Linked DNA regions of Oryctolagus cuniculus. The protein of the gene in region 1 interacts with the protein of each later gene in a pairwise test. Links are inferred from orthologs where the notes say so. Each region holds a gene or a part of one and is shown in the gene's direction. Other genes may lie near its edges.

Region 1 (3,988 bases):
TTTTAAATAAATAAATAAATAAATAAATAAATAAAAAGATTTTGGAGGGGTGAGCAAGAGACTGCAGTAAAATGGTACTTTTTTCTCTGTAAATTGTCTGTGGTTAAGAGCCAGAGAATGAGTTTACAAGGGGGCAAAGCAAACCTCTCTCTACAGATAGAGCCCCTCACTCATAAAGATGGGTGGGGTGCCTTTGGGTCCCCAATCACTGGCCATTTTCAAGCCTAAGTCGCATATCTTGTTAGAAACGTGTAACGGTATGCATGTCCCCTTCACTCTGCCAATGCTTGGTAAAAAGCTTTGTACGAGGTGCATGCAGAATACAGACAGAAATCACACGTGGTTCCGCTGTAGGCCAGCTGTCAAAGCACCCTCCTCACAGTCCCAGGTGGTCTTGTTAAAGGGCGGAGCCTGATTCCCTATGTGGGAATGGGGCCCGGGAGTCCGCATGTCGAACAAGCTCCCTGGTGATGCCGGGGCCGCTGGCGGACACGAGTATCCCAGGCTGACAGAGCTTTGCAGTAGGGAACGAGACACGGATGAGATAATAATACACAGCAAGGATCCGCAAAGGCCCCGAACCTCCATTCATGATCACAAAAACGGGGTCCCTCCCAACCCGAGGGCTGTCTGTGCCCTTATTATACCTTCCGCGTTCCTTCTGATGGGTTTTGCTGCTGCTCTGTCTCCGGAGTGTTATTTCTTCCAGGGGTGCCCACCGCACAGGTTCATTCCGCTAACATTTCACTAATCCTCACGGGCTAGCGGCCGATCACTCCATCTTGAGCTCTTCCCGGGGACCCCAGTCGGGCTGACTTCTCTCCCCCGGTACCCAGTGTTCGCGTCCAGGGACAACCACTCCTTCCTTCTGCTCGGGGCCGAGGTCCGTTCTCATTCCCTGTAGGAAGCCACCTCTCCGGGTCGCCCAGGGCCATGACGCCGCGCACACCACGCCTGTGGGGCGCCTGAGGCGGGGTGAGGACGCCCGGGGAGCGGCCGCCGCGGGTCCTCCCGGCAGCCTGTTCCCACGGAGCCCACGCCCCGGCGGTTCCGGACGCCGCCTCCCTCCCGCCCTTGTGCCCCCGCGCGGCCCGGCGCTGGCTGCGGCGCGCGGCTCACCATCGAGGCGGCGGCTAGAGAGGCGGGCGGGCCGCAGGGAACGCGCACGGGGCGGGCCCCCCGCGCCGCTGGCCTTGTAGCCATTTTAGGAGGAAACCAGGGGCGCTAGCTCGGGGCGCGGCTTCAATTTCAATAACTTTATTGGTGGCGTCACCCGCGGGACGGCCATCGCGCCGGTGGCCTGGACAAGAAGGAGCGCATCGCCGGAGGTGGTGACGGGCGTGGGCGCCCTGGGGCAGGCGGCGCGGGCTGCGGGGGAGGTCCCCATAGCGGTTCCCTGAGCCGGGGCCGCGCCGAGGCCCGGGAGTTGCGGGGGTTCCCGCAGGCCGGGAGGGAGGGGATTCCCTCGCCCGGGTCCGCGGGCGCAGGGGCGGGGCCGGGGGCGCCGGTGACGGACGCGGCGTCTGGGGTGTTCCCCGCCCGGTGTGGTGCCCCCGCGGCAGGTGGCCCCCGACTGGAGCCGCGGTCATGGGAAACACCACCAGCGACCGGGTGTCCGGGGAGCGCCACGGCGCCAAGGCTGCGCGCGCCGAGGGTGCCGGCGGCCATGGCCCGAGCAAGGAGCACAAGATCATGGTGGGGAGCACGGACGACCCCAGCGTCTTCAGCCTGCCTGATTCCAAGGTAAGCGGCCTCACGCCCCAAGACGTCGGCGGTGCTGCAGCCGGCTTGGTTTCGGGCTCCTCCCTTGCTGGGTTCCTTCTCATGACACTGAACTGGGTGATGGGTTTTTGAATTAAAAGGGATTTTCCGAGTCGAAGGTGTTGGATGGTAATTCCTCTTACGGTGCTGCTTCAAAATAGGGCGAGGCGGCGGAATTCTCTGACTAGTCTCTCCGCCACGTTTTAAAGGATGGGGACAATAGACAGCCGCCGTTTCGGGTACCCTCTTGGAGTGTTGATGAATTTGCAGATTGTAAACTGGGTGGGGAAACTTCGCAGGGGAGGTGGCAGTTTTTCACATTGGCCCTGAGGGTGGCTCAGTGAATTTCATTTTCCTGAAAATGTCTGTGTATCAGTGTCATCTTTGCCTTTCTAGGAGCTCTGCACTTGAAATTCTCTTCCCCTTTGGTACGGCCGTGAGCCGCGACTCCTTGCCTTCTTGACTACTTTGTCCTAGGCTTGGGATCAGTAGGACGTCATTTGGTTGACTGCTTTTGCTTGGTCCAGCACTGGTGTGGTGGCCGACACCCAGCTGCTTGCTGGGAGGGCAAATGATTCCCAGTCCCCTCTCCTCTCCAGGAGAACTTGAGAGTGTTGCCCGTGGCTGAAAACACCCACCCCCAGCTGCCCCTCTGAAGCGCCTGCTCTCAGTTCCTAGGACTTCTGGGAAGACCAACTTGCGTTCACACTACAGAATGGACAGATGGCGCTGACAGCCATATGATTCCAGAGCAGTGTCTAATCACTCTTAGAACTGTCGGCATGAAATGCATTTAATTTCTCCAGTTGGGCTGAGTAGGGTGAAATAGAACAATGGAGAGACAAAGATGGCAGGGTCTGATGTTTTTATCACTTCATCACTTTCGTCCAACTAGGGCCTCTGGGCAGAAAGAGATCCTTATTTGCCACATTGCTAGTACAGGAAATTTGCATGCTGTGGTTTCTTTATCTTCTGGAATCCCCATTGAGAACAGAATCACAGACAGAAAAGAGAGTGATTGAAAGGAGTTGTTTTGGGATTTCTTTTCTGGTGCTTTTTTTCCCTTTCAACTTGAGAATTTCTTCCCCATCATTTGGGCTGTCTCCGCAGCCACCTGAATTTACTTGTTCAGAATTTTCCCAACGTGATCTGCCTCCTGTGTTTTTACCCTTTTTTGATGTTAATGACTCAGGATTTAAGAACAGTGTGGTTGTGAAACTGTGACTGCAGCATTTGATGGCCTCAATAAAAGCTAGGTTGTTGTGTCTGAATTGGGGCCTATTTTGGATCATTTTTTCCCCCACATTGCAGTCTTGCCATTTGTGATATTTAAAAATTGGCTTATGTAATTCCTAAGGTTTCATCCAACTCAAAAATTTTGTAGTACTCCATCTACTCTCTCCTTTCCTCAACATGTTTCTCACCTATTTCCAAACTATGGCTCTAGCTGTTGTTTTGCCCCTTTTCCTGTTGGTTTTGCCGACTATTTAACTTGGAGCAAATATTCTTGCTGCCAGTCGGCTGCATCCGTTCCTACCACAGAAATGTTGTGTCATAAGTGGGAGGGCTTTCCTCCGAAGCTAGGCATATTAATAGTCCATAGCTTTCAGATTCTGCACTGAAGATCTGTCATAAAAGTAACTGACGGAAACAGTGGTGGGAGGCCCAGAGGGCTCCAGGTGCCTGCCTCCATCACCAGACTGGTTGGGTGGTTCTTAATCCTGGTTGCACATAAGAATAACCTGAGATTTGTTTCAGTTATGGTGACTCTGAAACCTTTACCAAGTAGCAAGAACAGTATAATGAACTCTGTGTACCTGTCAGCCATTTTAAACAATGACCAAGTCATGAATGAACATGTGTCATCTAAGTCCCAATCCACTGTATCCTCACCAAAGTATTTTGAAGCACATTGTAGACATTGTATCGAGTATTGTATCATAACATTTTATAATGTGCTAAAGGTGATTTTTTCGCTTTTAGTAGAAAGTCACACTGTTATTATCAGGGAAGATTTTTAGAAGTAGATTACCAGCTCCTGTATCTGCCTCAGAGCCTGAGAGTTATTGTTAGGTCTGTTAAAAAAAAATCCTGTGAGTCTGATGCAGCCAGTCAGGCAGGAAGGCATTGCTTTGAGAACATGAGGACCGGGGTTTTCTCTTAAGCCTGAATTATGCTATTACTGGGGTCTCATACTTAGTTTTGAGGAATATCAAAAGGCGCTGTG
Region 2 (4,121 bases), on another chromosome or scaffold:
CCCTGGGAGGAAATGGAGAAGTGCAAGGGGACGAGCAGCAGGATGGCCGGCGCCGCCTCAGGTTAGCGCACCGGGCCGTCCTGGTTGTCAATAACGCTCAACTCAGGACAGACACACCCGACCCAGGTCCCTCAGCACGGAGCCCGTTCGTACCTCCCACCTCAGAAGGCCCGAGCTCAGGGTAAAACGTGGGGCTCTCCTGTGCAAGGCCGTGCCCGACTTGATAAGAACTAGGAGGGTTGGCCAGGGCTCACTGAGGGTCCCCGAGGGCAACGTCTGCGACCCGACTCGCCTCGCTTCTTCCCCCGCCCCCTCTTGGCCCCTCAGTCCAGTGAGCATACGACTCTATTTCCCAGGCTCCTGGCCCCGAACGCCTTACTTGGCTTCCGCTTCCGGTGGCGCCTCGCTGTGCCCCGCCCCCGAGCCGCGTCCTCGGGGGCCTCGCGACACGAGGGTCGTGAGTGAGCTGTCCTGGGATTCGTAGTTCGCTTTTCCCTCGCTTCGCCGGTCTCTCGCCCTAGCGGACTCCATCTCCCAGCGTCCACCGCGGCTCTCGCCCCTCGGCGCTTGCGCGTTGCCCTCTTCCCCACCCTCCCCGATTTCCACTCCCCCCACCCGACTTCGCCTGCCGCGGTCGGGTCCGCGGCCTTCGCTGTAGCGGTCGCCGTCGTTCTTTGGAAGCAGCTGTTCCCCTCCCCCACCCCGGTCCCGCTCCCCGTCCAGCTGGTGAGTGTGAAGTGGTTGCCCCGCGGAGTTCCCGGTCCCTAGGAGCGGCACATGGGGTCTCCCCGCCTTGAGGTGGGGGCGAGGAAGGAAGTGACCCGGTCCGTAACCGTGGGAGGGAAGGGTGGCCGGAGAGCGGGAGGCAGGCTGTGGGGACTCCGTGAAAGAGTACCTGGCGGTGCCCGCCCCTCGCCCCGGGTCGTGAGAAAAGGAGGTGTCGGTCGTTGCTTGGCAAAGATAAACTTCTAATTCTTGGGGAAGGGTGCCGGAGCCCTGCGGTGGTAGGGAGCCCGAGCCGAGGACTCTGCCAGAGTTGACACAGGCGAGAGGGGTCTGGCCATCGGGGGCGCGGGGGATGTAGGTAGGGACTGCTGGGTCGGTACTTGTGGGCTCCTGCCAAGGAATTTCTAAGTTCATTCAGAGAAAAGGGGCCGAGGTGTAAATAACAAGAGCTAGAGAAGCCTGTCCCAAAGGCTGGGATCCTTTAAAAAAAAAAAAAAAAAAAAGGGTGGCCCCAAATTCTTCCATGGCTGAAAGACAGAGTGTGGGAGGAGGGAAGGTGCCAGAGCCGGGGAGGGAGAGCTTGGACTTGACTCCTGTTTCCAGCTGACGTGAAGATGAGCAGCTCGGAGGAAGTGTCCTGGATTTCCTGGTTTTGTGGGCTCCGTGGCAATGAATTCTTCTGTGAAGTGAGTGCTTTTCGTTCTTCCTACTCGCTGGTTCCATGCGTTCAGGTTGGGTATCTTCAGCTTTTGCACACTTTATCCCGTGGAAACTCCTTCCCGTGAAAGAAGGGGTCCCCTCAGTAACCCCCCACTAATCAGCGGCGATGTGGCAAGACTGGGGCCCAAGTCCCATTTCTGTCACACACCCCACCGCACCCCCAGGAGGATAACATTGAACTAGTCAGACCATCTTTTTTTTTTCTTTTTCTTTTTTAATTTTTTTATTGTACTTAAAGTATCTGAAGGTAGAGCAACAGAGAAAGTGAAGGATCTTCTGTCTACTGGTTTATGTCCCAAATTTCTACAACAGCTACTGCTACCAGCCAGGCTGAAGTAAAGATCCCAAAACTTACCTGGGTTTCCCATGTGGGTGGCAGGGACTCAAGTACTTGTGCCATCACCCTGCTACCTTCCAGGGTGTGTGTTAGCAAGAAGCTGGAATTGGAAGTGGAGTTGGGACTTGAACCTGAGCATTCCAGTTTGGGATGTGGGTTATCTCTAACCATGTAGGAACCACCGTGCCAAGTGTCCTTTCTCCTTTGCTTTTTCATTACTAGAATGCTACTGGTAGTGCTTATCTCTGGGGGCTGTTAGGAGAATTGGAATACTGCACCTTAAAATGTTCTGTAACATGCAAAGCTCTGTGTTGACATAAGGAATTCTAACCACCTTCAGAAACCAAGCTGTTCAGCCTCCACCTTCCTCAGAGAGCAGCTGTTCCCTCAGGAGAGGACAGAACTGGTTCCTAGAGATGAGGAACAGGACTAGAGACGCGGGAGTCGAGTGTGTCTCTAAGGAGACTGCTGTGCTTGCTTGTCCTTGGAGGAGAGAAGCTGGAGCTTTCACGGGGGGGAGGGCGTGCGTGTGAACTCGGGACAGCGGCTGAAGTACTGACGCTGAGTTGGAGTAGGAAACAGGCAGACCAGACGCAGCCGTGTGGCCGACAAGGCGTTCGTTAGGTGACCTTGGCCAGCTCAGAAGCTGGGGGTCCCAGTAGGAGTTTTCCTCTTGACCTCCGTGTTCTACCAGGTGGATGAAGACTACATCCAGGACAAATTTAACCTTACCGGCCTCAATGAGCAGGTGCCTCACTATCGACAAGCTCTAGACATGATCTTGGACCTGGAACCTGGTGAGACACCCTCAAGGTTCATGGTGGGGGGGCTGTTTTTCTCTTCAAATTACCTCTTGAATTTACCTCTTGAATTTCTAAACTTCCTTTTGGTTCTCTGACACCCTTAACCTCAAAGTCCCAGCAGCATTTTTGCCCCCCTCCTTGAATTCTTGCCTAGTTTTGTGACTGATAGCACTTGCTGCCATACTTTCTGAATTTGTAGCTCAGCGCTCCTCCTTATGCGAGTTTCCTCGCGGGTCTTGTTTACTGCCTCTTTGCCTGCCTTGCACCCTCCAGTCTAGAGTTCCACCTTCTGTGTTGACATCTTTGTATTTACGTACTAAGGAAGGAGTTGGGAGGGAGAGAAGAGAGCAGAGGCTGAAGAGGTGTGGAGAGAAGGCTGGGCTTCCTTGGGTTGGTGGAAGGGGCAGAGACCCAGGTTAAATGCCCACGTGAGGACTGGGTGAAGCTCAAGGATGGGTGCTGGGCAAACTGGGCAGCCAACAGCCCTGGGGGTGGGCGGGGCACCTGGGAAAGCTGGAACGCCAGTGGTTGCATGTGGCTGGCCCATATTTCAGACGAAGAGCTGGAAGACAACCCCAACCAGAGCGACCTGATTGAGCAGGCGGCCGAGATGCTTTACGGATTGATCCATGCCCGCTACATCCTCACCAACCGAGGCATCGCCCAGATGGTGAGGCCTCTCTGCGCCTGCGTGACTCCTTGTGAGGCAGTAAGGGAAACAGGTTCCTACAGTGAGCAGTAATCTGGCAGCCCTGTCAAGGAGTCGAGCTGAGATGAGAAAAACCCAGAGTTTGGGCCGGGAAACTGAGTCCTCCCTGGACGTCCTGCTGAGGGGGTGTCTTCAGGGAGGGCGATGTGAGCTTGGTCAGAGTTGTGGACTGCTTCTTCCTCAGAGAACAGACGGCAAATGGCCCTGGATGTCATTAGCCTCCCTAACTGGGGGGAAAGTTGGTGGGCCCCTTTGATCTGCACAAGGACCTCCAAGAAGAGGGAGGAAATGTGGAGGACAGAGTTATGTGGGGGTCGCTGCTTATCCTCATACCCACCCACCAATCCCTTCCATTTTTTTCCCTTCAGTTGGAAAAGTACCAGCAGGGAGACTTTGGCTACTGTCCCCGTGTATACTGTGAGAACCAGCCAATGCTTCCTATCGGTGAGTATTGAAGAAGGGAGAGGGGGCACCATCTGGCAGTCCTCTGGGAAGGAGTTGGGCTCAGCAAGGCGGGAGCTGAGTTCTGGGGCAGGGGACTCGGCAGTGTCGCGGGTGCCTGGCCTGCTGAGTCTGGCTGTCTCCCAGGCCTGTCGGACATCCCAGGTGAGGCCATGGTGAAGCTCTACTGCCCCAAGTGCATGGACGTGTACACACCCAAGTCATCGAGGCACCATCACACGGATGGTGCCTACTTCGGCACTGGTTTCCCTCACATGCTCTTCATGGTGCATCCCGAGTACCGGCCCAAGCGACCCGCCAACCAGTTTGTGCCCAGGTGGGGAGCAGACAGAGTCACCATGTGTCAAAGGAAAGACTCAGAATC
Region 3 (4,190 bases), about 2.7 Mb from region 1:
GCTCCTACTCCAGCTTCTTGCTAATGCAGAGCCTGGGAAGCAGCAGCGAGGGCTCAAGTAGTGGGGTCCCTGAGGACCCATTTTGGAGGTCTGGACTGTGTGCCCAGTCTTCAATTCAGCCTCGGCTCTGGCAGAGGCTGGCATCTGGAGAGTGAGCCAGTGGGTGGGAATACACTCTCTCAAACACATACAACTTGGAAAACATATTTATTTATTTATTTATTTGAAAGTCAGTTACAGAGAGTGGAAGAGAGACAGAGATCTTCCATCCAGATGGCCACACAGGCCAAGGCTGAACCAGGCTGGGTCTCCCATGTGGGCAGCGGGGGTCCAAACACTCAGGCCATCTTCCACAAATGGGATGCCAGTGTCTCAGGAGGTGGCGGCTTCGCCAGCTACACCGCAACACAGGTCCCAATAAATAAATTTAAAACATTGAATAGACTCACCAAAATGCAATTCATGAGTAGCAAATAAAAACGTTTTAAAAAATTAAATACTAGTGACCATGTATCATCATCTACTCTGTCAGTCATTTTACATAATTTCCTTTTTAACATAATACACGGATAACGCTTCAAGCTTAAAAATCTAAACAGCACACGCAGTGTTAAGACGCGAAACCCTTTCTCTTCCCTGCTCCAAAGACGCATTCCTCCCCAGCGTCCCCAAGGCTGCCGAGGTCGGGGTGCGTTCTTCTAGATGCAACTGGACGGACAGCCGACTCCAGGTCCGTCACCGACCCCGACGTCCGGTTGGCCTCTGCAGCACAGAGAGCGAACCGGACAGCGCCGGAGCTGCCATTCGGCGGCAGGCCGGCCCGACGCATACACCGGCGCGCGCTCCTTCCGCTACGCCCTGCATGTAAAACTTTATGGTGGAGGAAACCCAGGCTCCCAGAACCACCTGGTTCGCCGCCAGGGCCCAGAGAGGCGGCCGCGACTGACCTTGGTCTGTGTGCAGGAGCGCGCCCTGGCCGACGGGGGCCGGGAGACGCACAGGACCATTTGCATGCACCCTGCGTGCGGCCTCCCTCCGGGCCCGCGCCTCGCCCAGGTCACTCAGGACCAGGCGCCACCTGGATCCCGGCCGCCCCTCGAGGTCACCCCGCTCGGACGGGCGCAGCGCTGGCACAGCGGGTGCTGGGGTCCTGAGCCCCGGGAGCGACTTCTGCCTCAAGACGCAGCCCCGGGTGGGTGGCACTGGCGCGCGGAGGCTGTGGGGTCGACCGTCCCCACCCCGGGACCGCGGGCAGGGGCGCTCGGCGGCCGGGGGGGCGGGGCGCCGGCGGGGCGGGGCGCGGGGCGGAGCCGCGGCCGGAGGCGGCAGCGTCCGGAGCCGGGCTCAGGGGCTGGAGTGGCCGCCGCAGAGCAAGGCTGCCCCGAGGGAGCGCCGGGGCGCAGAAGGGCCACCGTGCCGCCGGGGGCGCGCCGAGCAGGTAGAGACCCTCCCCAAGCCCCGGCCCCGGCCGCCCCCTGCCCACTGGGTCCCGTTAGACCACCCGGCCCGCGCACCAGCCCGCACCGCCCTGGCCCCAGCTCCGCGCGGTCGCGCCCCCGCCGGGACCCCGGCCCCGGCGCTGATGGTCTCGGAAGATCTTCTAACCCCTGGGGTCGAATTCCTGGGGAGGGGGTCTGATCCCGTGTAACTCTGGCTCCATCACCCGCGCGGGGAATGAGCCAAGATTCCTACTAAGTCACATAGTGAAGTTGGAAAACATACCCAAGACCTCCCTGCAGGCGCGCTCGCCTCCTGCCCTTGCTGCTCTCGGAGGACGTGTCCTTCCTGACACCCCCTCACTCCCGCAGTTGGGAATAAGGTCGCTGGGAGGGATGCAGATGGGCGCCTTGATGCCGCTCAGCCTGATGGCGAAAGAGGTTGACGGAAAAGAGAGACACCTGTTGCGATGGTTCCCCCAGGACCCAGGGTTGAGGGCCGGGTGGGAGCAAGAGATTCTGACCCAGGACAGGGGCTGTCCACCGCCAGCCCCTCCCCTCTCAGTGACTCCTGCCTCGTGAGGGGGCCGGCCCTGCAGGTCTGTTCTTTGATCTTCACTGGCCAGCGTGAGGAGGTGTGACCAGGAGGTGCCCAGGTTTTTCCAGATCAGGATCCAGCCTGGCACTGGAGTGACCCCTTCTGCTTTCTTTCCTTACCCAGGGCAGCGAGACACCAGAAGAGGGGCGTGCAAAGGGTGAAAAAGCACAAATGTGTGTCTGTTTCGCAGAGGAGGGGGTATCGGCCCCCTGCCCAGCTGTGCAGGGGAGGGCAGGGTGGGACTTTTCCAGAGAGGGAGCCAGGCCTGGCCCGCGCCCCGGGAGCTCACGTCACCCCCACCCCTCACTTCTCCAGGGAACTGCCGAAGCCAAGCCCCGCTCGGGACAGGATTATATGTACTGGGGAGACCGGCAGAGAGAAGCAGAGGCAGAGCGGGCGTGGAGGGGGCCCCTGCGTGACCCCCACCCACCTCTCCTCCCCTCAGCCTCATCCACAGGCCTGGGGCTGAAGGTCTGCGTAGAACATGGGCCCCCGCCTCCCGGCGCCCAGCAGGGCGGGGTGGCTGACCTCAGTGGTCAGTTCAGCCAGGGCCATCAGCAGCCCCTCCCCAGCCCCGAGCAGCAGGGGGACCCTGCCCACTCCGGGTTTCAGGGAGGGGAACAGGGCCGCGGGCTGCCACCCCCGGCACATTCCTGCTCTCCCCATGGTGCTTCTGCTGCCCCTGAGCCGGCCCACCTCGCAATGGCTCCTTGGAACCCTCTCCCGGGTGCCTTTCAGATCCAACAGAAACAGGGTTGGGTTTTTTTTTTTTTTTCCTGGAAAGCAGAACTAAGAGCAGGATTAGGAGTGGGGGCAGGAAGGGCTCAAAGTCAGAAGGTGTTGGGGGGGCCTGCAGGGGCAGGGAGAGTCAGGCTGAGAGCAGGCTAGACTGCAGGATGGACTTCCCGGCTCTGCGGGAGCAGGGGCAGTTCTGCACCTGTCCTTGCTTAGGTCCCTGCAGCCTTCCCGGCTGTGCACAAAGCAAGCCTCAAGCCGGAGGGGTGCTGGTGCCTAGAGGGGAGGTTGAGTCACCTGCTTCTTCTTTATAGAGATTAAACCACCAACCCACTCAGTTTATCCCTTGGCCAAAAAGTGTCTGAGGCAGGCCGAGCTGTGCCTGACTGTTCCTAAGGAGCTTAGCTAAGAAGGGAAGACAAGGCTGGGAGGCAGGAAGGATGCAGAGATGGCTTGGGAAGGGGCTCGTTCTCGGAAAGCTCATGGGACTTGTCAGGGTGAGGTGCGGCGTCCGGCCCGTGCTCACCTGAGCCTCCCTCAGCTTTCCAGGAGGGAGGAGTGGGGCCAGAGGGACCCATCTGAGGATGTTGGCTTAGGAACTGCCCCTAGAGGGGACTTAGGGAGGGGCTGAGAAGTTCCTGCAAGGGCCAAGGGGGAGGGGCCTGAGCCTAGCTTGAGTCGGGAGGCTGAGGTCAGACCCCCACCCTCCAGCCCTAGCCCGCGGCCAGGGCAGCAGCCCCTAAACATCCCGAAGGAAGGTGGGGGCGCCCTCCCTCCCGGCCTCCCTGTTTCCTGGGGGCTGGGAGGTAAACGCCAGGCTTGTGTTCCCGCAGAGCGTACCCCTCCACGCCCTGATGCCTGAGTAGTGTGCACCTCCAGGCCCCTCCTCCCTTGCCAGGGGTGAGAGATGAAGTGGGCAGGCTGGTAAGAGGGGGGCCACCTGGATGGGATGGGGGGACCCCGGGGGGAGGGAGGGGTGGCCTCGGCCCTAGGGCGCGGGAAAAGGACCCCTGGGAGGGCTGGGGGAAGTGGTGACTTCTGCTTTCCAAGACCTCGGTGGTCAGGATATGGGAGCCTGTGGGTGTTGGGGGGCGGGGAGGGGCAGTGTCGCAACGCCTGCCCTGACTCGGTTCTGACGGTTCTGACGGCCCCTCCTGCCTTTGGTTGTGGTTTGCAGGCCCCGGCTGTGTCTGATGCTGCTTCTGTCCCTTCCTCAGCTCTGCCTGGATCAGGTGAGCCCTGGATAAGAGCGGCCCTGCTTGCCTGCCTGGCAGCCTCCTGTCCCTGGTCGCATGCCCGACCTCGCCAGGCCATCTCCATGTCCCCCAGCCTCAGAGCCACGTCCTTCTCACTCCTACTCGGCCCACCTAGCATCCCCCACCCCCCACCGACCCCCTGGCTCCCTGTCAAACACCATCAAG
Region 4 (4,148 bases), on another chromosome or scaffold:
GGTGGACTGGATGTGGGGTGAAGAAAGGGAGCCTTGGTGTGGTCCAGGAAGAAAGCACTCTGCTCCAGCTTCCCTGGACTGACCCCCTTGGGGCCAGGGCACGGGGCCTCCTGAGCCCACTTCTCCAACCCACTCTAGCAGCACTGCTGATTGGCAGCTTGCCAGCGGGAGCTGACTGACAGCTCAGTCCCCTCCTCCATGGGCCCATCTGTCCTGTCTCCATCTCCTGCAGAGCCACCCCCTCCCCTGCTCTGGGGGCCGTGGCGGAGGGGGGCAGCAGGGTCTGTCCTGGGATGGGCTTCTCCCATCAGGACGTCCTGACTGGTCCCTGAGGGCCAGGGGCCCCTCCCTCTCTGTCTGTCACCCTGGCTCTTCAGGCTAATGAGACCTGCCCTGATTCCCCAGCTGGCCTTAATCTCTCCCAGCAGGGGGCATGGAAGAAGGGGGGGTGGAGATAGGGCTCCTTATGGTGAGGTACAGTGGCCGCCAGAGGAGGGATTCCTGTGTGTGTGCTCATGTGTGCCTGCATGCATGCCTGAGTGTCTTTGTATGTGGGTTTGTGTTTGCCTGTGTGTGTTCCATGTGGGTTTGTGTTTGCGTGTGTGTGTGTGTTTCTATGCCTGTTTGGAGGTCTGGGGAAAGTAGAGCAGACCCACGTGGGGACAAGAGCCCAGGGAGATGTTAACATCCAGAGACAGAGAGTGAGACAGTGCAGAGGGAGACCAGGCAAGGAACCCGGGAGGGAGCGAGTCAGCAAGAGGCCCCCCCCCAACCCCAGGGAGGACACAGAGGGAGGGGCCTGGGGAGTGAGGGAGGCAGAGGCAGGGAGGAAGAGAGGGGCAGGTTCAGGGTTGGATGTGGGGGACACAGGTCTGCCCGGCCGAGGGCAGAGGGGCTGAGACCAGGCTGGAGCCCCAGGCAGAGGGGGACAGGCAGGGATCCAGCAAAATGAGGGCGGGTCCTTGAGGCCGAGGGAGAGACAGCTGGGGAGGGGAGGGAGGGCGGCGGAGGGTGTGTGTGGGGAGAGACAGACAGACAGACACACACACACATACCAGCATAGAGAGTGCCCGAGCACTCGAGCAAGTGGGTCCTGGAAGTGGGCCCATAAAGACAGAGGAGGGTGGGGGGAGAGCGAGGGGTGCACGGGCCAATCAGCACACAAGGCACAGCCTGGGGCCCGAAGGAAGAGACACTGAGGCACAGAGGCCCCACACAAATCGAGCGAGAACGGGAGCGTGGGCGGGAGAGCGAGGACGCGGAGGTCAGGGACCAGCGTGAGGCCAAGGCAAGGAAAGCATAAGAGGGAAACTGAGGCAGAAAGCAGAGGACAGTGTGGCAATGGGGAGATGGGCGGCTGGGGAGGCACGGGGGCACCCAGGAGTGGGTGCTGAGAGCCCTGGGCCCCTCCTCCTCCCCACAATCTCTCAGGAGCGCCCTGTGTTTCTGTCCATCTTTGCTGCGTCCCTCTGTGACAAAGCTAAAGCCGGACGGGCACCAGTCAGACCCAAGCAAGGACTTCCCGAGGGGTGGAGGCTCTGGTCACAGGCAGGTGCAGGACTGTCCCCCCACATCTCCATTAGCCCTAATTGCCAAGATGTCGGGGGAGGGGCGAGGGGACTTAGGCAGATGGGTGCCCCTCCCCCTCCTAGCCAATGTCACCTCCCGGTGCCCAGTGGGTGCCCCAGCTCGGCGGCAGGGATTACCCCCCCGGGATCCAGGCCACAGCGTGTGACATCACTCCCGGCTCCGGGGCTTAAAATCACCCGGCGGGTGGGGACCTGTTTCCTTCTGCCTCTGCAGCCTGGGTGACTCCTGTGCCGTGTGCGGGACCTGGGCCACCAGGGCAGCCAGGTCGGTCCCTGCCTTCGGAAGGTGAGCGAGTGCAGGAGAGGCAGAGGGCACTGCGGCGGGGGCCGGGGTTGGGGCCGGGGCCGAGTTCCCCTTGTTCCCGGCTGGCTGGGTCTGTGGGGTGGCGGACTGGGCAGGTACACAGCAGAGGGCGGGGACTGGCCCTGGGCACACGCAGGGGCCCTGGATGGAGGGTGCAGGGGTGAGGGCTTCTGGCCGTCCTTCCCAGACAGCCCCTCTGCACCCCTGCGGGGTGTTCCTGAGAAGTCTCACTGCTGCCTGGAACTTTCTTCTCTGGGCATCTGCCTCTCCCACTCTCTCTCTCTCTCTGACCCCTGATTTCTTCCCAGTGCCTGCTGTGTGGTGGGGGATTTGCCAGGGTGTGAATGGATGGACAGGGAAAGACAGAAAGGAAGCGACGCGTGCACGCGGGGCCGGGCTCTCGGGCTCTGCTAAGTGGGGACCCTGGGGGGACTGCCCGAGGGGCCGGGATGCTTTGGGAGCCATGAGGCTGGTGACCTCATTACTTGGGGACCTTGCCACGCCTAACGGCTCCGGCCGTGCCACATCCCCTCCGAGGTTCCAGCTCCTGGTCTCTCCTGCTCCCTGGGGACCCAGGACAGAGGAGCCCTCGGGGGCTGCAGAGATCGTATGGGGGGGCACACAGCCGAGCTGGGGCCCCTTGCCAAGGGTGGGCATGGAGCCCTTTGGGTGTGGCCTCCCTGGGCTCCGGTCTCCTCCTTTGCAAGGTGGGGCTGGTGACGGAGGAGCTGAGGGAGGCTGGGGTCACAGGCCAGGGGAGGGGCGGGGTGGCCTCATCCTGCTTCCTGGGACCCCAGGTAGGTTTGGGGGACAACGATGGGTCCTGAGAGACTTGGGTTCTCTCTCTGCTTCTGCCACTTACCACCCATGTGGCCTTGGGACCCCTGGGCTCTGGGGGACTGGGGGAGAGCAAGGTGGGTATAGGCTCAGGGGGCGCTGGCCCAGCTGCTGGCCTGTGTGTGTCATGGGACCAGCCTCAATTTGCCCCTCTGTATACTGGGGCTGATGCCAGGAGCAGCCTCGTAGGCAGTTCCTCCCCCAGGTTCTTGTCCCCCGATGTCTTGTTCCCAAGGCCGTGCTGCAGGGACTGAATAGCTGGGAACGCTGGGACGTCCTTATTGTTATCCAATGCCTGGACTAGGGTGGGCATCCTCCTCCCCAGCAGGCTCAGAGACCCCTCCATGCAGAATGGGGTCACTGCAGGCCTGCCCAGGAGGTGGGGGTGAGCGCTCAGGTGGACGCGGGGCCCCTGGCCGGTGCTGCCGTCCCTCCCACCAGCCCTGGGGCCTTGAAATGCAGCGGGGCAGGGGGCGCTGTCAGGACCATGGTCAGTTCCCAGACACAGCCGGAATCAGCCGCTTGAGATCCTGGCTGACAATTCCTGGGGTGCTCGTGTTGCCGCCCACTCCTCTCAGGAGGTTCCAGGGAGGCCCTTCCGAGTTCATTTCTTGCTTGTCATTTGTTGTCACATCCCGTCTTCGTGGCTTCATCCACGCCTAGCGAACAGATCAACCCTGGGTTCCCACATGCTGCTGCTTGGCCCTGGGCACGCGCCTTCCTCCCCTGGGATCCTGCCTGTAGGATGGGCTTGTCCTCATGGGAAGTCCAGGCTTTTGGGGACACCAGCAGGGTCCTCCTGCCCCACTGCGGGGTCCTCCCGAGTCTCCCTCTTCCCATGCTCTCTTGGGGTTCATAGCAAACACTTCTCCTCTGCAAAGTGGGAGACAGCAGAGGGGAGGCGGATGGAGGGGCTGAGAAGGCAGGGGTGGAATCCGGGGTCCCCAGAGGGCCTCGCTGGGCCTGAGCACAACTTTTGGAGTGCGATGGGGTCCCTGCCTCCCAGGGCTGTGTGACAAGGTACTTCCTGCTTGGAGGTCAGGGGGAGGCTGGAATGCCAGTTTCCTGGGGCTGTTTGAATTGCTACGAAAGGTAACAAAGTGTTGCAAGCTTGCAAGGCGGTGGGCAGCAGGCATAGATCTCCCACTTGGCTGCTTGAGCCTCCTCCTAAGGCGGCAGCCAGCTCCGCTTTCCCTGGGGGCTGCCCTCTGCCAGGTCCCCAGCATTCTTGGTTAGGTACTGCAGCCCCTGCCGACCCACAGGGGTCCCCGCAGGGTGTGGCCATCAGGGTGGACTGCTCTCTGCTGCTGGTTTGTTTCTATGCGTTTCTACCCCAGGACGCCCCCGCAGCTCCTCCTAGATCTTTCCTCTCTGCCCTGTGATTGGTTCTGGTCACACTGGACCAAGTGATTCCAGCT
Region 5 (4,201 bases), on another chromosome or scaffold:
ATGCTGATCCCAGCTGCTGCCTGAGCCTCCGGGCGCGCTGCCAGCAAGGGGAGGCGGCTCTGAGTGCCCCAGGAGGCCGGGATCAGGGCACGACCAGAGGAAGGGGCTCTCCACTGGGGAAGGGGCTCAGTCTGTTTTTGCGAAGCTGAGGGTCTGGGGTGAGCCTGAGGTTGGCTGGGCTATGTTTCCCTTTCCAGGGAAAAAGAAAGAAAAACAACCCATCGAGCTAAAAATAGAGCTGAGCGCCGGCCAGGGCTGTGGCCTGGAAGGGGGGGATGCTCCTTCCTGGGGCAGAGCCCAGCTCTGGCTGGCCTTGGCCCTGCGGGGGAGGGCTGCCGTCTGGGCGAGGGAGGCCGTCCTCGCCAAGGCCAGCGGGCATCAGCTGACCTGGCCAGGTCACAGAGACCCCTAAGGAAAGGTCTGTGTGATAGAGTGCATGCAAAACACGGTGTGCAGTATGAGAAGCTGTTTGTGAGTACTGCGAGGCTGTCAGCATGTGAAAGATGCTGGGAGGTGCGAGGGCCTGCGAGTTGTTGTGAAAGACTTAATGCACAACCGGTGTGACGCGGGGCTGCGCGGGAGCTGGCCTGGGAGTGCATGGAAGGAGGCCTGGGGGACCACGTGACGGATGAAGCTCTGCGATTGCGGCTGCCCGAGACTGAATGTGGGAAAGGTCGTGTGGGTGTTAAGATGTTGTTTCCAAGAGGGTGAGCATATGCGTGACCCTGAGGAGACCGTGGAATGTTGTCTGGTGGGAAGCTGGTGTAGGCTTGGGCTGTGCCTTTCCACTGGGGAGGCCAGAAGCCGCCCTTCCCCGGGCAATGACCCTTCTCTTAGCCAGCGACTCCAAGGGAAAGTTGGGGAGTCCAGAGCCGCGCCAAGGGCAGGCCTGGGCTGGCGTCCACGGGCACGGGCTGTGGAGTGGGAGAAGACCCCCCTGGGTCGGGGGGCGAGTAGATGTGCTCTGAGAACCGACCGCCAGGTGGCGCCGCCTCCGCAGATCCTCGTGTACCGCCTCCAGCCCGCTGTGGGGTGGGCCAGGCAGGGACCTGGCCGCGGCCCCCGACTAGTGCTGGGGCGCAGGGCCCCGGCAGCCGAGGAGCGGCGGGCAGCTGACCCTCGGCTTCCCGCTCTGGACTCTGAAGCTGGAGAGTGTCTGGGGCGGGCTTCGATTAGAGAAGCGAGGGGGAGGGGCCGCCGCGCCGCGCCTTGGCCCTTTGTGCTCGAACAATGACCAGCTGCCGCTGGCCCCGGGGCCCGGCTCTGGTAGGGGGTGACCCGCCCGCCGAATCCACAGCCGACCGAGCCGTCCGACACGCAGTCACCGAGACTCGGCGGGAGGGGTCCCGCTCGCCGCCGCGCAGCCCCTGCGTGCGCCCCAGCAGACACGCGTGACGTGGGGTGCCTGCGCGTGTCCGCGCCCCGGGGCGGGGACGCCCCTCGGACCCCTCCCCCGCGCCGCCCCGCGCCGCGCCGCCCACTCGGGCCGGGAGGGGACTGGCCCGGGCCGGGTGCGCCGCCGAGGCGGAGGCGGGGCCCGGCCGGGTCGGGCCGCTCCGAGTGGCCGCGCGCGGGCCGGAGCCGGGCGGCGCGCCTGTGGAGCGCTTGGGGCGGCCCGGGGCTGAGCATGGAGCAGCGCGGCGGAGGTGAGGGGGAGGCCGGGGCCGGGAGGAGACCCGGGGTCGCCCCCAACTTCTGTGCGGCGGCGTCGGGAGGGGAGGCGGCGTTCGGCGGCCGCCGTGCTGGTGGGGGGGGGGGGTCGTCGGCTGAGTGGGGGTGGGCGGGGGGAGGGGTCCCGGCTTCCTGCCTCGGAATGGGAACTCGGATCCCAGACTTGAGCCTGCGTGACTGTTCTTGGAGTTGAGGTGGGAGGGCGACTTTCCCGAACTCCTCAGCCCCCAAAACAGGTCTGCGCGAGCTCGGAGCGCGGCCAGAGCCGTCGCTGGCCCTGGCTGAGCCCCAGCCCTCAGCCCTCCGTCCTGCCCACCGCGGCGATTACTCGGGAGAGCGAGGGGTTCCCTTTGCCCACAGCCACGGCGCATTTCTCAAAATGGAGCCTCGGCTTGCCCCTCCTTCTCAGTCGGGCTCTGAGAGCGGGAGTCCTACTGGCTGGGCCTGGCTGGCCGGCTTTCGTCGCTCTGGGTCTGGGGGGCCTTGGCCTCTTGCGGTTCCGGGGCCTGGCGCCATGGGCCGGCCTGCCTGGCTTCCTTGGCCGCCTGACCCCCGCGCCTCCCTGAGCCTTTGTCTCGGCCTTTGGCTCTTTCTCCGAGTGGGCCCATCGCCTTCCTTCAGTTTTCACTTTTCTCTGTGCTCCCTGAAGAGGAGAAATGCGGACAGAAATGCCAGCCCGCATGGCCCCCTTAGCAGCCCCTTCCCCCGTCCTGTCCGTGCCTTACGTGGCCCTGCAGAGGGAGGAGGAGGCTCCCGGGTGCCCGCGTTGCCCAGGGCTGGAGCTTGGGGTGCTGTCAGGCCCCAGCCCTGCAGCCAGGCCCACCATTGCTCCCAGCAGCTCCTCCGGCAGTCTGGACTGACACCGACCTGGTTCTTGGTGTCTTTTCACTTGGGTAGAGAGGAAAGGGATGAACTCGATGGAACACAAGCAAGAAAGAAGGGGAACAGCTCGGACAAAGGTGGTTCCCCCTCTCCCCACACTCCAGAGTGAAAACTGGCGGGTTCCCTCGCACTCCCCGGTGCCCGACATGCCTGCCCTCAGAGCCTTCTCTGTGGGTAACCCGGCTCTGGCCGGCCTGCTGTGCACACACAGGAGTTCGCGGGGGGGAACCCATGTCCTGGGTTCCTCTTCAGCATCTCAGCACACTCACCTGTTACCTGTGCATTTACTACTCCTGCGTACTTGCATGGTGACCCTTAATTACACACGCATACGTGTGAGGTTCACACGTTAGTTCACACCTAGACGGGTGTATGTATTGAACATGTCCAAACACACACTCATGTTTTCACACGCATTATTCCTGGCACGCAGTGCTCACTCTGCTGCCCCTGGGCATAAAGGCGGCCATGAAGACCTGTACACGCACACATTCCTACTCCCAGGAAGTTTTCTGTCCGCCTCCTTGGCCTGCACGTTCTGCATGATGATTTCGGCAGATGCCAGAGCCCTGGTGCTCTGCGGCCTCGGGACCGGAGGGAGTTCCCCAGGGAGGCTTGCTCTCCCCTTCCAGGAAGGAGCAGAGCCCGGGGAGGTGGTGAGGTCTTGGAGCAGCTGCCAGAAGTGATGGTGGGGCTTCCGCCTCCATCGGGGTTTCTCTGGAGATGGCGGAAGCTGGAAGCTTCTGATAGAGGTTGGAGTCGGGCAGCGCCCATGAAGGCTCCTTTAGGCCCCATGTCACACCCTGACTGGGTATGGAGAGGGTAGGGGTTGTCATAGAAACAAGCAAGTGCCTGCATCACCTCCAGGAGGCAGGTGTGTGTGCCCTGAGAGCTGTGGACTGCCTGTTTGGCCAGCTCCACCCTTGCCGCCTCTCTGTCTGGGAGAAACTGAGGCCCAATAGGGGGAGGTGGGGCGCTGCTTGGCCTTGGCTCTTTGTTCCCTAATTATTGTCTGAGTTGCTGGTGGTGTCCTTGAGGTTGTCGCTGCCCAAACTGCCCTGTAACGAGGCCACCTGTCCCAGGAGACTGGGGACCTGGGCCAGGTGCTGGGAGAGAGGGCTTCTTGCCTAACCTGAGTCCTGGTCTCCGTGGGGCTGCAGGTCTGGGTCTGGGCCTCCACTGCCAGGTGGCCCTGTGCAGGCTTCCGATCCCTTCATCTCTGCCTGGTGGCCCTGTGCAGACCAGGGAGCAGTGGTCTGGGGCCCAGAGAGAAATGAGATTCGTGCCAGTACTTGGAAGAGGAGCCTTGGGGGGGGGGGGGGGTCAGGGCGTTGTTACTCATGTCAGGAAGGCGTTTGGCCTGGATCAGGGGACAGCACAGGGACTCAAGGCCTTGTATAGGGAGAGGGTATAGGATGCTGGGATTCTTTTTGTTTTGTTTTGTTTTGACAGGCAGAGTGGACAGTGAGAGAGAGACAGAGAGAAAGGTCTTCCCTTGCCGTTGGTTTACCCTCCAATGGCCACCACGGCCGGCGCACTGCGCCTATCCGAAGGCAGGAGCCAGGTGCTTCTCCTGGTCTCCCATGGGGTGCAGGGCCCAAGCACTTGGGCCATCCTCCACTGCACTCCCAGGCCACAGCAGAGAGCT
Region 6 (3,500 bases), on another chromosome or scaffold:
GACAGAGGGTCAGGAAATAGCTTGGAGACCAGTGCTACCCAGCCAGGCAGAATGGGGAGGGAAGAGGTAAGGAGAATTTTGAAGCGTGAACAACAAAGAGTATGACAAATCTTTTTATAAAGAATTTTACAGGACTATTCATACACTTTTGGGAATAAATGAAATACTGGGATTTGTTTTTCATCTTTGGATTACACAGGGGTTGTGTTTTAATAAGACCTATTATATTGGGGTTTGATTTATCGTTCTGCCTGTTGGGTGTATTGCCTTTTTTTTTTTTTTTGATGGCAGAGTTAGAAACAGAGAGAGATAGACAGAAAGGTCTTCCTTCCGTTGGTTCACTCCCCTAATGGCCGCCACAGCCAGCGCTGTGCCGATCTGAAGCCAGGAGCCGAGTGCTTCCTCCTGGTCTCCCATGTGGGTGCAGGGACCCAAGCACTTGGGCCATGCTCCACTGCCTTCCCAGGCCACAGCAGAGAGCTGGACTGGAAGAGGAGCAACCAGGACTAGAACCCAGGGTGCTGGCGCTGCAGTTGGAAGATTAGCCAAGTGAGCTGCGGCGCTGGCTGGGTGTATTGCTTTTAATAGTTTCCATTTGACTTTCTTTTAACATTGGAGATTTTCTACTCAGTGCTCAGCTTTGGCTCAGAGTGAGAAGGCCTAGCTTTTGGAATGAGGGGCCTATGGGTTCAAGGGTTGGGGCTGATTATTTGCGTGGGCAGTGTCTTCCCAGTGTTCACAGTAGAATTCTGGAAAAAGGAAAATTCACCTAAACCTATGCTTAGAGGCGTAACATCCTGGAGCAATTGACCGAGTATGTCTTTTTTTCTAGCCCAGAAGATGTCCAGGCTTTGGTGAGCGGGAAGCTTGCACTTCGGTATGCAGGGAGGCAGGTAGGGAATACCTTGACTGCACTTCTCACTCAGGCCGGCATGTTGTCAGTCACCTTGTTTGATGAGACTAGTGCTGTTCAGGGCTCCATGCTGCTCTCTCCTTCCCCCTGCCTGCTTCCTTCCCTTAAGCACATTCAGTATGTTTCTTTTTTTCTTTCTTAAAGATTTAGTTATTTATCTGAAGGGCAGAATTAGAGAGAGAGAGAGACAAAGAGATAGTGAGATCTTCCATCTGCTGGTTCACTTCCCAAATGGTCACACCAGCAGGGCTGGGCCAATTGGAAGCTAGGAGCTTCTAGGTCTTCCATGTGAGTGCAGGGGCCCAAGTACTTGAGGCGTCCTCTGATGCTTTCCTAGGTGCATTAGCAGGGAGCTGGATCGGAAGTGGAGCAGCCAGAACTCAAACCGGTGCCCATATGGGGTGTTGGTGCTGCTGGCGGTGGCTTTACCTGCCACATCATGGCACCAGCCCCTCAGTATGTTTCTTATGCTGTTAAATTCTTGGGCCAGAAATTCAGTGTTTTGTGCTTTTATGGATGTCAAGTGGTTTGAGGGACTTCCAGAACTGAACTGTAGAGTGAGTAAGTTAGGTTGCATTAACTTTGACCAAAAGATTAACTATCATGAGCCTATGAAATCTTGGATTTCCAGAGTCAGGAACCTGGTCAGTTCTGCTGCATATGTGCTTTAGGGAGGTTAGATTGCCTGGCGTAAAACTGGGCTTTGATACCAACCTGAGTGCTTCTCAGCTCGGTACCTTTTTTCCCCCAAAGATTTATTTATTTATTTTAATCTACTTGAAAGGCAGAGTTACAGAGAAAGGAGGGGAAGAAAGAGAGAGAGCTCTTCTGCTGGTTCACTCTTCAAATGGCTGTAGCAGCCAGGGCTGGTGTTTCACCGGCTCCGCCACAGCTCTGCTACAGTGCCAGCCCCAGTACCTTTTCACTCATGCTTTAAAATTTGAGTTTGATGAAAAAAGAGACTCTTGGTGATTGGTAGCCCTTTTTGTGATACCTTATGTCTGAGTGGGTATGAATGGGCTTAAAAGAGCAAGTATGTTGTGACCTATGTAAGTCTCATTTCTCAGATGTGGGCCATCCCCTGTTTGTACTCTGCCTGATTAGCACCAGTGAAAGCAGACTTTCTGCATTTCAAATGCAATTGTTGCAAACAAGCAAATTGGCTATCTCACCATATTTTTGGAGGAACGGCCACAACATAATTTCTTTGTTCTCTACAAGTAGCCCTGAAATTGGCATTCCATCTGTAAAAATTTCAAGTCAGCTCCTAGTTTTGACCTGAAAAATACTTGTTACTATTGTAGTGACAGATGCACTAATCTCTTTAGAATTAGAGTTGAGGAGATGAGTGCAGATAGGTCAAGTGTCTGGTACAAGGTCAGGTAGCTAATGGAGCTGGACTTTGTGCTTGAGTTATATGGTTCTGGGTTCAGGCTTTTGTCATTGTAGCATTAACATTTGTTCTAGAAATGTCAACCGCAGACCGCCCTTGCGATAGCTGTGCACCATTTAATCCGCTGTGTGGTAAAGCATACTGTCCTTCTTTAAGGATGTAGTCTGACAGAAGAGCAGCTCCTTCTGTCCTTTATACTTGGATGACAGCTTTCAAATAGCAGTCAGGCTGGTCTCCCAGAAAAAAAAAATGAGCATTGCAGATTTCTTACGGAGTGGAGACTTGGTAGCTTGGCCTTTTATAATTATATGAGAAGTTCCCCATAACCACCGATTGTGGTTTCATCCCTGTGAGTGTGTATTCTGTGTATACTGACGCCTCGGCCCTAATGAAAGTGGGCCCTAGTACTTTCCCAGACATCTCCGAGTGACTGGACAAAGCACAGGTGCAGGCAGGTCTGAGGGCAGGAGGGAGGTGGGGTGGGTGTGGAGATAAGGGAGTCCTGGAGGAAGGAGGAAGACCACAGTTGTCTCATCAGTCCCCTCTGAGCGTGTCAACTGTGGAGAATGCTACATTGGGGTCTTTTTGGAAAACCTATTTCCTAGTATTCTTAGTGTCTTTAAGATTTCAAAAGGAAACTGGTTGTCAGTGATATCCACACTTGTAGTTTTTCTTCCCAGACCTCTGAAGGAGCAGTGGTGGGGAGGGCTCTTCGACAGACTGCTCATGAGACTTTTTGGGTGAATGTGAGTGCACAATAGATCACTTTCACGATTTGTCTCTTTATTCTCAGACAGAAGCATTAAAATGCGTGGCTCAGGCTAGCAAGAACAGATCACTGGCAGATTTTGAAAAGGTGAGCATGGTGTTGGGTTGGTAGGGAATGGGTGGAGGAGAATGGATGTATATTTAAGAAAACTTAACGGAAATAGAATTCCACACAAAGTTGCAAAATAGTATAGTGATCCCTTGTACGAGTCACCTGGTAAAATATCAAAACCAGAAAATGTTTATGCACTTGTATACGGTGAAACTTAAGGTGATCTAAATGATATATAATTTATATATGGGAACTTTTTCAATTTCAGAGGTTTTTCTGTCATCCTTTCCCCTGGCAGATCTGTTACCTGCATTGTGTGGTTGAGGGAACCAGGGTTCAGGAGGATGCCCAAAGTCACACAGCTAACGGGGTCT
Region 7 (3,500 bases), about 74 Mb from region 1:
AGGAAGCAAGAGAGCCTACAAAATACTTGAGCTGATTGGCCAGGAATCATCAACATAGGATCATGGAAAAGGCGCAATTTGAGATGGATTTTTTTTAGGATTAAGAGAATTTGAGGAGCTAGAAATGAGAAGCATTCTCTGTAGGGAAGCAATGTGAAGTGTTTGGACATCAGAAAGCATGAGAGGGTGCAATAACTCTCTATCAGTCCTTGGGGCATTCTAGTCTGGCCCAAGAGCCCACAAGAGCATTTCATGCATGGAAAGCCAAGATACTGTGGCAAAAGATGTCCTACATGAAGGACCTCTGTGGGTGAAACTCCAGGATAAAGAAGTGATCATCAAAGAAGAATGTATTTTCTCTGAAGGGAAGAGAGAGCCTCCACTTTGCTTATGGCCTTGTCTGAATACTGAAGGATTTTGTGGATTCAAAAGGCTTCCATAGCCTAGGCAGCTCATGTCAAGAGTCTTAGGTGATTACTGATGTCATACATAAGAGTGTTAATTGTTAAATTAACAATAGGAGTCACCATGTACTAACTTCCCATGTAGGACCTCTGTCCTCAAAGAGTTGTATTATGAGAGTTAATAGTAAAACTTGTTCTCAAAGATCAACTTCACATTAGTGTATTAAGCAAAGGATAATCTTATGTCTCATAAGTTTTAGATAAGCCTCAGTGCCCAACTCCATTGCCCATTTCCTTTGGAACTTCTTTGATTAATGATAAATCTTGTTCTCAAAGAAAAAAAATTAAAAGAAAAATAAGAAAGGAAGCAGAAGAAAGTGTGGGAGTGAGGGAGGGATGGAGGATGGGGTTAGAAGTCATTATGTACATAAAATTATATGTATGAGATATATAAATTTTGTTCCATTTATATGTCCTGTCCCGCGGGACAGCAACTGGAGCCGAGCACCTAGAAGGAGAAATGAAAGGGACAGGAGACACAAAGATGGCAGCAAGACAAGTCCTGATTAAGCTGCGATTTTTATTTTCAACCACACTCTTATATATCATAAAGGCAGGGTGTCGGGCGGGGGAAGGGGGGGAGCTTATCTTGTAGCTGCAATGCTTGTGCAAGTAGGGGAAAGGTTACAAGGTCTTAAGGCACAAGGTCATACAAGGTTGTGTTATCAGTACTCTCCCTCCGGTCTGGGCTGTCTAGTCCTGCCTCACTAGTTTTCCACTAAGAGGCCACATGCTACATGGTCCCCGACATTTGTATAAATAAAAAATTTAAATAAAAAAGAAGAGCATAAATAAAAAGGAGTTAAGACGACTCTGACTGGAACATTTTCCTTTTCTTATGTATTCATCTCTGTTCCTTACTGAAGAATGAACATGATGACTTAGCAAAACACTCACACAGCATATTTTAAAGCAATATTTCCCAAAGTGCTTCTATGGAAAATTAGTCTCATGGAATTCTCTATAGAAAAATAATAGTAATAATTTAGAAAAAATGTTTAATATTCTTTCCCTTCCTTGAATATTCACAATGCATATTAGTTTATTTTAAAAGGTCTGAATTAGTCCTGTAATAAAGAAAAACTGACTTCCCTGGAAAAAGTGGGCCTCTCCTATTTATGTTTCCATAACATTACACTCTTTATTTTCACTCAAAAAACTTTTGGAGTCTCTAACTTTATTGTCTGTTTATTTTTAATATCTTACTGAATAAGTCTCCACTAAAATTTATAACCCATGAGAACTGAAACTTTGTCTTATTGTCCATTAAGACACTAATGTAACAGCTGGGCATACATTAAGTGCTCAAAATAAGGATAAACAAAATGAAGATGAAATTTGCTCATTTTAATTTTACCTTATGTTTTCTAAGCAGTTCAAAAAAGATACTTCTGGATTTTGAACAAAACATTGCCAAAGTCAGGTCTGGTTTTCCCTCTGTGTAGTCTGTTATTGTTTCCCATTCCCACCACTCAGGGTCCTTGGCGTCAGTTTTTCTCCTAATCCTTTGTCCTATTTATTGACTTTTGAAGCTTGAACAATTGTCTGATATGCCCAAATTTCTTTGTATCTTTCAGGCAAAGACTGCCACCTAAAAATGTTTACTACTACCGCTGCCCGGACCACAGGAAAAATTACGTGATGTCCTTTGCATTTTGTTTTGACCGAGAAGAAGACATTTACCAGTTTGCTTACTGCTACCCTTATACATACACCCGCTTTCAGCATTACCTTGACAGCCTACAAAAGAGAAACATGGATTACTTCTTTCGAGAGCAGCTGGGTCAGAGCGTGGTAAGACTTGTGCCTGGTTTGGGAAGCCCATTAGAACTAGGCAACCCTGGGGTAGGGATTTCACAATAAGTTTACAGAATGCATAAAACGAATATTGGTGCTCTATAGATTATATAGAGAGATTTAATAATTTATTATATTAAGTAATATATTAAATTGTTTAGTCATTGAATAATTATTAGTTGGATAAAATTATAATTAAATAATTAGTATTATATAATATATAATTAAATAGTAGTATTAAGTAGTGTAATTAACTATTATTAGTTAATGTTGTTTTAAATATCATTTTTATTGTGTGATTCTTTGTTGCTGTATGTACCAGAAAGCCACAGAATAAGATGTGAGGTAAACAGTTGTCTTTCTGAATGAATCTGATAAAGTTTTCTAGTAAAATACAAAAGTTCTGGTAAATCTCAAAAACTGAGAAAAGAAGGAAATTTAAGAGGGAAATTTCCTGGATGTTAAAAAATATGGGAGTTTTTTTGTTGTTGTTTATTTGACAGGTAGAGTTATAGACAGAGAGAGAGACAGAGAGAAAGGTCTTCCTTCCATTGGTTCACTCCCCAAATGGCCGCTAAGGCTGGCCCTGCGCTGATCCGAATCCAGGAGCCAGGTGCTTCCTCCTGGTCTCCCAGTGGGTGCAGGGCCCAAGCACTTGGGCCATCCTCCACTGCCCTCCAGGGCCACAGCAGAGAGCTGGACTGGAAGAGGAACAACCGGGACAGAATCTGGTGCCCACATGGGATGCCGGTGCTGCAGGCAGAGGATTAACCAAGTGAGCCACAGCACCAACCCCAAAATATGGAAGCATTTTATGACTATGAACCTCTCAGAGGAGAAATCTATTTGTTTCTTAGGGAAACCAAGTTGCCTCCAGTACAGTTTGGTGAGTGGTGTGCAGTTTGATTTATTACTCGAAGTGCGTTTTGTCTCTGCCACCATCAGCTCCAAACTCTCCTTTCCTTTCTCCAGCTTTCGTTCTGTGGGATTGGAGAATTCAGTGTTTGATTCCTTATTGATTTCCTATTACTCATATGACAAATTACCCACACTTGGTGGCTTAAGGTAACATGAATTTATTGTCTTATAATTCTGGAAGGTAGAGCTAAAAATATCACCAGATATGAAATTCTTCTAGAGGCTCTGGCAAAGAATTCAGTTTCCTGCCTCTTCCAGCTTCCAGTAGCTGCTTGCATGCATTGGTTTGTGACTCCTTCCATCTTGAAAGCTATTAATGAT

The links.
Region 2: the proteins of PRKAB2 (region 1) and CSNK2B interact in a two-hybrid assay, tested with the Homo sapiens proteins (2 studies listed by BioGRID and IntAct). The link is inferred for Oryctolagus cuniculus from reciprocal best matches to the Homo sapiens genes PRKAB2 and CSNK2B.
Region 3: the proteins of PRKAB2 (region 1) and ADAMTSL4 interact in binary tests that used the Homo sapiens proteins (3 or more experiments, as listed by UniProt). The link is inferred for Oryctolagus cuniculus from reciprocal best matches to the Homo sapiens genes PRKAB2 and ADAMTSL4.
Region 4: the proteins of PRKAB2 (region 1) and cone-rod homeobox protein interact in binary tests that used the Homo sapiens proteins (3 or more experiments, as listed by UniProt). The link is inferred for Oryctolagus cuniculus from reciprocal best matches to the Homo sapiens genes PRKAB2 and CRX.
Region 5: the proteins of PRKAB2 (region 1) and LZTS2 interact in binary tests that used the Homo sapiens proteins (3 or more experiments, as listed by UniProt). The link is inferred for Oryctolagus cuniculus from reciprocal best matches to the Homo sapiens genes PRKAB2 and LZTS2.
Region 6: the proteins of PRKAB2 (region 1) and PSMD11 interact in binary tests that used the Homo sapiens proteins (3 or more experiments, as listed by UniProt). The link is inferred for Oryctolagus cuniculus from reciprocal best matches to the Homo sapiens genes PRKAB2 and PSMD11.
Region 7: the proteins of PRKAB2 (region 1) and BEN domain-containing protein 5 interact in binary tests that used the Homo sapiens proteins (3 or more experiments, as listed by UniProt). The link is inferred for Oryctolagus cuniculus from reciprocal best matches to the Homo sapiens genes PRKAB2 and BEND5.

Annotation. Positions count from the first base shown.
Region 1 is NC_091438.1:50,111,967-50,115,954, forward strand, and holds the start of PRKAB2 (5'-AMP-activated protein kinase subunit beta-2), read left to right. Parts: upstream 1-1,188; 5' UTR 1,189-1,587; coding exon 1,588-1,743; intron 1,744-3,988. UniProt on the Homo sapiens protein: Non-catalytic subunit of AMP-activated protein kinase (AMPK), an energy sensor protein kinase that plays a key role in regulating cellular energy metabolism.
Region 2 is NC_091436.1:138,947,093-138,951,213, reverse strand, and holds the start of CSNK2B (casein kinase II subunit beta), read left to right. Parts: upstream 1-1,321; 5' UTR 1,322-1,340; coding exon 1,341-1,412; intron 1,413-2,477; coding exon 2,478-2,580; intron 2,581-3,140; coding exon 3,141-3,256; intron 3,257-3,663; coding exon 3,664-3,739; intron 3,740-3,883; coding exon 3,884-4,073; intron 4,074-4,121. UniProt on the Homo sapiens protein: Regulatory subunit of casein kinase II/CK2.
Region 3 is NC_091438.1:47,452,929-47,457,118, reverse strand, and holds the start of ADAMTSL4 (ADAMTS-like protein 4), read left to right. Parts: upstream 1-1,390; 5' UTR 1,391-1,438; exon of another isoform or gene 1,439-3,602; 5' UTR 3,603-3,676; coding exon 3,677-3,693; exon of another isoform or gene 3,694-3,946; coding exon 3,947-4,001; exon of another isoform or gene 4,002-4,190. UniProt on the Homo sapiens protein: Positive regulation of apoptosis. May facilitate FBN1 microfibril biogenesis.
Region 4 is NC_091449.1:9,969,913-9,974,060, reverse strand, and holds the start of cone-rod homeobox protein, read left to right. Parts: upstream 1-1,348; 5' UTR 1,349-1,548; intron 1,549-1,803; 5' UTR 1,804-1,875; intron 1,876-4,148. UniProt on the Homo sapiens protein: Transcription factor that binds and transactivates the sequence 5'-TAATC[CA]-3' which is found upstream of several photoreceptor-specific genes, including the opsin genes.
Region 5 is NC_091446.1:28,872,964-28,877,164, reverse strand, and holds the start of LZTS2 (leucine zipper putative tumor suppressor 2), read left to right. Parts: upstream 1-1,401; 5' UTR 1,402-1,646; intron 1,647-1,784; exon of another isoform or gene 1,785-2,509; 5' UTR 2,510-2,579; coding exon 2,580-2,630; intron 2,631-4,201. UniProt on the Homo sapiens protein: Negative regulator of katanin-mediated microtubule severing and release from the centrosome. Required for central spindle formation and the completion of cytokinesis.
Region 6 is NC_091448.1:41,599,261-41,602,760, reverse strand, and holds part of PSMD11 (26S proteasome non-ATPase regulatory subunit 11), read left to right. Parts: intron 1-832; coding exon 833-893; intron 894-3,099; coding exon 3,100-3,162; intron 3,163-3,500.
Region 7 is NC_091438.1:123,791,698-123,795,197, forward strand, and holds part of BEN domain-containing protein 5, read left to right. Parts: intron 1-2,041; coding exon 2,042-2,258; intron 2,259-3,500. UniProt on the Homo sapiens protein: Acts as a transcriptional repressor.